Macaca fascicularis: one gene and its partner. The protein of the gene in region 1 purifies or fractionates together with the protein of each later gene. This does not show direct contact. Links are inferred from orthologs where the notes say so. Each region holds a gene or a part of one and is shown in the gene's direction. Other genes may lie near its edges.

Region 1 (3,811 bases):
AGGAGTAAGGGTGGCGCCCAGCTGCCCTGATGATCCCAGGAGCCAGGCTGCACCCCTGTCCTGGGCCTGCCCGTCCCTCACTCCCCAGACAGCTGGAGACCGAAGCCCTGATGTGCCATCTGTGTTCCCTCTCCCAGAGCTCCTCCCAGAACCGGGCGCCTGCTGGCTGCGGGATCTTTGCTCATTCAGGCACTGAGGATAGGTGGGCGCCATAGGACAGAGGGTGTGCCAGACACTCCTGTGGGGAGAAGATGTCAAACAACACGGGCAGTCATGGCAGTTTTGATAACTGCTTGAAGGAGGAGGAAGGGGAGACTTATTGCAGGCCAGAAGCCCCAGGAGACAAAGGCGGGGCGGCTGGAGTGGAATGCCTGCAGACAGGAATGCGGAGGGCGTGGGTGCCAGAGCGGGTGTGGCTGGGCCTGGATTGGAAAGGCTTTGCCAGACCAGAGGGTGCCACACCCTTGTGAGCAGAGCTCATAGTCCTCAGCGCTTTGGGTCCCCAGCTCTGGCAAGGGGGGTGGGGAGACGTGAGCAGAGCCCTTGCCTGGGAGTCAGGGACCTGGACTCTAGCCCTGGCTCTGCCACTACATTGTCCCATGTCTCTGGGCTTCAGTTTCCTCCCCTGTAAAATGGGAATAATAATAGTAGTAATTCTAGCTACTATTCACTGAGCCAGCACTCCACACCAAACACTCTTCTAAATGTCTCACAAATATTAATGAAATCACAACAGCTCTTAGCGGTGTTCTTAATATTATTCCTTTTCTTTTTTTCTGAGACAGAGTCTCACTTTTATTGCCCAGGCTAGAGTGCAGTGGTGTGATCTCGGCTCACTGCAACCTCCTGCACCCCCGGATTCAAGTGATTCTTGTGCCTCAGCCTCCTGAGTAGCTGGGACTACAGGCGCGGGCCACCATGCCAAGCTAATTTTGTGTTTTTAGTAGAGATGGGGTTTCACCATGTTGGTCAGGCTGGTCTCTGACTCCTGACCTCATGTGATGCACCCACTTTGGCCTCCCAAAGCGCTGGGATTACAGGCGTGAGCCACCATGCCTGGTCTATTCCCATTTTTTTTTCTTTTTTTTTTTTTTTTGAGACTGAGTCTCACTCTGGACCGGGCTGGAGTGCAGTGGCATGATCTCCGCTCACTGCAACCTCCGCCTCCCAGGCTCAAGCGATTCTCCCAAGTCCCAGCCTCCTAAGCAACCACCACGCCTAGCTAATTTTTCATATTTTTAGTAGAGACGGTGTTTCGCCATGTTGGCCAGGCTGGTCTCAAAAACTCCTGGCCTCAAGTGATCCACCTGCTTTGGCCTCCCAAAGTGCTGGAATTATAGGCATGAGCCACCGTGCCTGGCCTTTTTTTTCTGTAATTAAAAAAATTTTTTTGAAAATAGTGACAGGGTCTTGCTGTATTGCCCAGGTTGGTATTAAACTCCTGGCCTCAAGCAATCCTCCTGCCTCAGCCTCCCGAAGTGCTGGGATTATAGGCATGAGCTACCATGTCCAGCCCCATTTTTCAAATGAGAAAACAAAAGTCAGGCAAGGTTAAGCAATTTCTCCCAGGCCTTACAAACATTTCATAGTATGAGAGGTGGCATCTGAACCGAGAAAGCCAGGCTGCAGAGTCCACGTTCTTCCCCATGGTGTGATCTGAGCTATGATCATGCTGCATATCTCAGGGATTCTTCTCTACTCAACAAACATCTACTGAGCATCTGCTGGGCCAGGCACTGTGCTGGGCTCTGGGGACACAGCAGTGAAAAGGACAGAGGTGACATCCTGATGGCAGAGACAGACAAACACATTATAAAGTAAGGTCCTTTTGGGCTGGGCATGGTGGCTCAAGCCTGTAATCCCAGCACTTGGGGAGGCCAAGGCCGGTGGATCACTTGAGGTCAGGAGTTCGAGATCAGCCTGACCAACATGGAGAAACTTAGCCAGCCATTGTGATGGGCGCCTGTAATCCCAGCTACTCAGGAGGCTGAGGCAGGAGAAGCGCTTGAACCTGGAAGGCAGAGGTTGCAGTGAACCAAGATCGCGCCACTGCACTCCAGCCTGGGAAACAGGGACACGTCATCTCAAAAAAAAAAAAAAAAAGTGAGAGGCCGGGCGCGGTGGCTCAAGCCTGTAATCCCAGCACTTTGGGAGGCCGAGATGGGCGGATCACGAGGTCAGGAGATCGAGACCATCCTGGCGAACACGGTGAAACCCCGTCTCTACTAAAAAATACAAAAAACTAGACGGGCGCGGTGGCGGGCGCCTGTAGTCCCAGCTACTCGGGAGGCTGAGGCAGGAGAATGGCATGAACCCGGGAGGCGGAGCTTGCAGTGAGCTGAGATCCGGCCAATGCACTCCAGCCTGGGCGACAGAGCGAGACTCCGTCTCAAAAAAAAAAAAAAAAAAAAGTGAGGTCTTTTTGGACTGTTAGGAGTTGATACAACCACAATAGAGATTTTAATGACAGTAACATAAGGGACTCACTGTGCCAAGCAGTATTTTTATATTTTATTTTTATTTATTTATTTTTTGAGACGGAGTTTTGCTCTTGTTGCCCAGGCTGGAGTGCAATGGTGCGATCTTGGCTCACTGCAACCTCCGCCTCCCAGGTTCAAGTGATTCTCCTGCCTCAGCCTCTGGAGTAACTGGGATTACAGGCATGCACCACCACGCCCGGCTAATTTTTTGTATTTTTAGTAGAGTCAGGGTTTCTCCATTTTGGTCAGGCTGGTCTTGAACTCCCAGGCTCAGGTGATTCGCCCGCCTCGGCCTCCCAAAGTGCGGGGATTACAGGTGTGAGCCACCCGCCCAGTGTTCTTTATAATTTTTAACTCATTTCATCCTTATGTCCTCCCATCAGGGTGCATACTGTTATTTAGCCCATTTTATGACAAAGAAAGTAGCTGGCACACGCTTTCTTGAGTCTCCTGCTTGGGGGGTATCAAAGCCTATGACTGGGCCGGAGGCAATGATCAGGCACAGAGAGGGTGAGTAAGTTGCCTGCAGTCACACAGGTGGTGGAGTGTTGCTGGCAGAGGGAACAGCAAGTGCAAAGATAGGTGTAGTCACCGGAGACGGTGGGTATGAGGTGGTTTGAGGTCCAGTTATCCAGACATGAGCGAGTCCCCAGCAGGGGCAGCAGAGACAGTGGGGCAGGTGTGCTGGCTGGATAGACTGCTGCGTGTTTGTGTTGTAGGAGGCCAACGGTCCTGCTGATGGCTACGCAGCCATTGCCCAGGCTGACAGGCTGACCCAGGAGCCTGAGAGCATCCGCAAGTGGCGAGAGGAGCAGAGGAAACGGCTGCAAGAGCTGGGTGAGGGCGGGGCTGGGCCGGGGTTGGCTGGGTGGGCTGTGTGTGGGGTGGAATGTGTGGGGAGTCCTCGGAGTGCATGGAACCCTGCATGCCTTAATGTGGGACTGGGCCGGTGTGGCCCTGAGGCTGCCTGGCAGGGGCCAGGGGAGGAGCAGCCGGGGTGGCCAGGCCTGTGCATCCCAGCTGGAAAGCAGCCGCTCATTCTTCTGTGGGGTCCTAGATGCTGCATCTAAGGTGACAGAACAGGAATGGCGGGAGAAGGCCAAGAAAGACCTGGAGGAGTGGAACCAGCGCCAGAGTGAACAAGTAGAGAAGAACAAGATCAACAACCGGTGAGAGGCCTGTGGGGACATGAGGGGGCCGTGGGGACATGAGAGGGGGATATGAGGGGGCTGTGGGGACATGAGAGGGGCTAATGGGGACATGAGGGGGTCGTGGGGACATGAGAAGGGCTATGGGGACATGAGGGGGCTGTGGGGACATGAGAGGGGCTA
Region 2 (3,811 bases), on another chromosome or scaffold:
CACACGCACAATGTTTATCTGCTCAGCAGCATGTCTGGGCCCTGTAGTACCTTTCTTTCTGATGTCCACCTTTGACTTAGTCTAATAGCAGGAATACTGGTCACCTTTTAACACTGACAACCTAACAGGGCTGTCTGAAACCATTAGCAAAGCTGAACTAGCTATTGTGTTCCAACTTATGGAATAAGTTTTAGCATCGTCTGTGGAATATTGCAGGTGAACTGTTTAGATCAGTGTCTTTTCCCAGCTTTACTCCTTGCTCCTACTTTTTCCCATGATGGATAGTTGCTTTTCAATCCCTTTATGTGGAAATTCTCTATTTTTGACACTCAGGGGAACAGGAGAACGACCTAGTTATTTTCCAAGTGTTAGCAATCTTTGTAGTGGTGCATTGTTGTGGACAGACTCTTCCTTGTTCCCAGTGGCTTGTCAATTTCTTCGGCTCCTTGTCGGTGGAGGATTCTGTGGAGTGTCTGCGTGCCATGCTGTCTGCTAACATCAGACAGAACCTTCAGCTGTGTGTGCAGGTGGCCTCTAAGTACCATGAGCAGCTGGGCACGCAGGCCCTGGTGGAACTCTTTGAATCCTTCAAGAGTTATGAAGGTAAACCGTGCAGCCTTTCGCCGACCCCACCACGTGACTACACCTCCTTTCTCAGGTGTTGCGGTCCACCTGCCCGACTTAAAACGACCTTCCTGCAAAGCCAGGCAGGATGCAGCACTCGCTGCCTTGGGTGCTCAGTCAGTGGCAGAATGCGACTGCCATCTCATGTGCACCCTCAGCTTCAGTGTCCTTTTTGGTATTTCCAAAGGAAGAAATCAGGTTGGTTTGTGATGGAGTGGAGAAACTTATGGAGCCCGGTGTGTCTGTGCAGCACAGTCTGGCAAGAATTCATCTAAAAGCCTGTGTCGTGGGTACCATGAAAGGGCCTGATGTCTGGTCTTCACAGCCCCAGGAGGGAGGCTCTGTGGGCCTCTCCTAAGTGAGAGCCCACGATAGAGGGTGCATTGCTTTGTAGTATCTGCTAACCCAGTTGATAGCAGGGGCTGGCGAGGCAACTTGGTTGTCTTCCTTTCCCCTTTTTGGACATCACCCCAAAAGAGTGTTCTAGGGCAATGGGGGTGGGAGTAGCTTTGTTAGGGACAGGTGGGGGCTGTCTGGCCCACCCAGGATAGAGACTAAGCATTTATCTAGGCATCAAGCCACTGCCATGTGTCCGGTGAGGTTGGGGCATCGGTGGAGGGTAGGACAGGACCCTGCCCTCAGGGATCTGGCCTTCTCTTCAGAATACAACACTGTAGGAAAGACCATGGCGGACGATTGAGTGGAGCTGGGCTGGGAAAGAGCAGTAGAGTAGGTTGGTGGGGAACCATCGGCCTAGGGGCTGCCCATTCCCTTCCTAGCATCAGAGTCTCACAGTTACAGTGAAAGACCTCGACAGGCGGGGGCCTTCTCGGATGTACCTATCTTGTCGTTACTGTCCAGAGTTGCAGGCCTCCTCCTGGAGGCCGTGGCTTATTTCTCTCTCCCTTGGCATCAGTCCCACAGCCCTCTCAGATTACCTCAGTGGGAATTACTCTTGACGACGACTATCTAGGTATACCTGGGCCCCCAAAAGGAATTTCACAAGTACCAAATATCTAGTATTTTACATCAAAACATGCCAGGTATGCCTGCCAAATTTGATGGAAATCTGACTAGCTATTTTTGGGAGCTGCCAAAACAGACAGATGGCATATTGATTATGAGTTCTGAGTGGGCTGTGGGTCCACTGGAGAGTGGAGCAGGGTGGGTCCCTGGAGAGTGGAACAGGGTCATCGAGGGAAGGTGGACAGCAGCTACGGAGGAGACCAGGTGGGTGTTGCAAGGACAAAAATGAAACAGTCTCTCTTCATAGGCCTCTTCTACTTCCTGGGCTCAATCGTGAACTTCAGCCAAGACCCAGACGTGCATCTGAAATACATTCAGGCTGCCTATAAGACAGGGCAGATCAAGGAGGTGGAGAGGATATGCCGAGAGAGCAGCTGCTACAACCCAGAGCGTGTGAAGAACTTCCTGAAGGTGTGTTCCAGCACTGCCTCCTTGTGTTCCACAGCTGAATTGCTGATGGCAGGTGGGGCAGACCATCCGCAGGACGTCCCAGGAGGCAGGAAGCTGGATCTGTCTCGCCAGGGACCCCTTAGTCCCAGGGACAGAGCTCCGCCTTATGGCTTAAAGTTCTAGAGGAACCCTTCTATCGTTTTAAGAACGTGGAACGCAGCTTGAGGCTGTGCTCTAAGTATCTGGCACGTGAGTGGAGGGAGTTAGTTTATTGCTGCATTGTAACTCATCAACATCCCATTAGTGCCATTGTCAATTAAGCAGGCAAAGCTGCAGAAACAAGTAGACCACTCAGCACTAGTGTCATAAAGAACAGGAAGCCTGCTTCCTTATGTGGCAGTCCTGGGTGGGCTGGAGGTCAGTGGGGTGGCTTTCCTTCCCGCTGTCCTTCAAGGACCAGGCTCATGGCTGCTTTGCGGTGTTCAGCACCTCACCTGGATGTCGTCTTCCCAGTCAGCTAGAAGACGGGAAGAGCACAGAGGAACCAGCATGGGTGGTTTTTATGGGCGAGGCCTGCAAGTGGCAGATGAGACTTGGATTCACGTCCCCTTGGAGGGAATGAGGTCATGTGGCCACACTTAAAACTTCAAGGGAAACCAGGAAATGTGATCTAGGTATGGGACCACACAAGGGGGAGGCATGATTGTGGTGACCTGTGGCTGTCCTACCCAAGTGCCATCATCATCTGGGAATGGTGCCCAGGTGTGTTTCCATGGCCTGCGGCTGCATGTCTGAAAAGGCAGCCTTTACTGCAGGTGTGCTGTTCTTGAGAATGGCCTGGTTTCTGTTGGGTTTGCACGTAATAAGCTGCTTGTCTTAAAAGATATTTTTGTCCAGATTTGGAATGTTAATGCCACATTTAACGGTCTTTAACCAAATACTATTATCTTTCACTTATTTCCAAAGCAAACACCATACCACAAAACGACAGCCTATCTAGAGCAGTCTCATTCTGAGTCTCCTACATGTCACTCTGCTGCAGAGACAGTGCTGTCCCATATGGGCAATGAGTCCGAGGTCTGGCTGTCTGGTTTCTCCACTCCCTGACTTGTTCTGTGCATTCTAATCCTCAGGAGGCCAAGCTCACAGACCAGCTTCCCCTCATCATCGTGTGCGATCGTTTTGGCTTTGTCCATGACCTTGTCCTGTATTTATACCACAACAACCTGCAGAGGTACATTGAGATCTACGTGCAGAAGGTACTGCTGGCTCCCTGGAGTGACCCACGGCTGCCTCTGGGCCCCAGTCAGTGACAATAGTCTTCACCTCAGAGGCTGCCTCTAACATCTGGCATTTCAGAGACTATCATTTTGAAGGGTGGTGGGTTAGTGTGCTCAGACTGCCAGAGTAGAAGAACACAGTCCAGGTGACTGAAACAACACACATTTATTTCTCACAGTTTTGGAGGCTGGAAGTCCACTATCAAGGTGCTGGCAGGGCTGGTTTCTGGTGAAGGCCGTCTTCCAGGCTTGCAGACGGCCTCCTGGCTGTGCCCCCACAGGGCCTTTCCTCTGTGCATATACATTCCTGGTGTCTCTTCCTCTTCTTAGAAGGACATCAGTCCCATTGCATTAGGGCCGCACCATTGGCATTGATTACCTCCTTAAACACCCTCTTTCCATATAGAGTCCCACTAGGGGTTAGGACATCAGCAAGTGAATTTTGGTGGGACACAGCGCAGTGCTAAACAGGAGCCCTTTCAGGGTTTTGC

Evidence for each region.
Region 2: the proteins of CLTB (region 1) and CLTCL1 purify together in Homo sapiens (affinity purification with mass spectrometry; 3 studies listed by BioGRID and IntAct, with this or other methods). This does not show direct contact. The link is inferred for Macaca fascicularis from reciprocal best matches to the Homo sapiens genes CLTB and CLTCL1.

What each region holds. Positions count from the first base shown.
Region 1 is NC_088380.1:183,287,894-183,291,704, reverse strand, and holds part of CLTB (clathrin light chain B), read left to right. Parts: intron 1-3,199; coding exon 3,200-3,317; intron 3,318-3,537; coding exon 3,538-3,649; intron 3,650-3,811. UniProt on the Homo sapiens protein: Clathrin is the major protein of the polyhedral coat of coated pits and vesicles.
Region 2 is NC_088384.1:33,619,438-33,623,248, forward strand, and holds part of CLTCL1 (clathrin heavy chain 2), read left to right. Parts: intron 1-422; coding exon 423-603; intron 604-1,897; coding exon 1,898-2,061; intron 2,062-3,173; coding exon 3,174-3,299; intron 3,300-3,811. UniProt on the Homo sapiens protein: Clathrin is the major protein of the polyhedral coat of coated pits and vesicles. Two different adapter protein complexes link the clathrin lattice either to the plasma membrane or to the trans-Golgi network.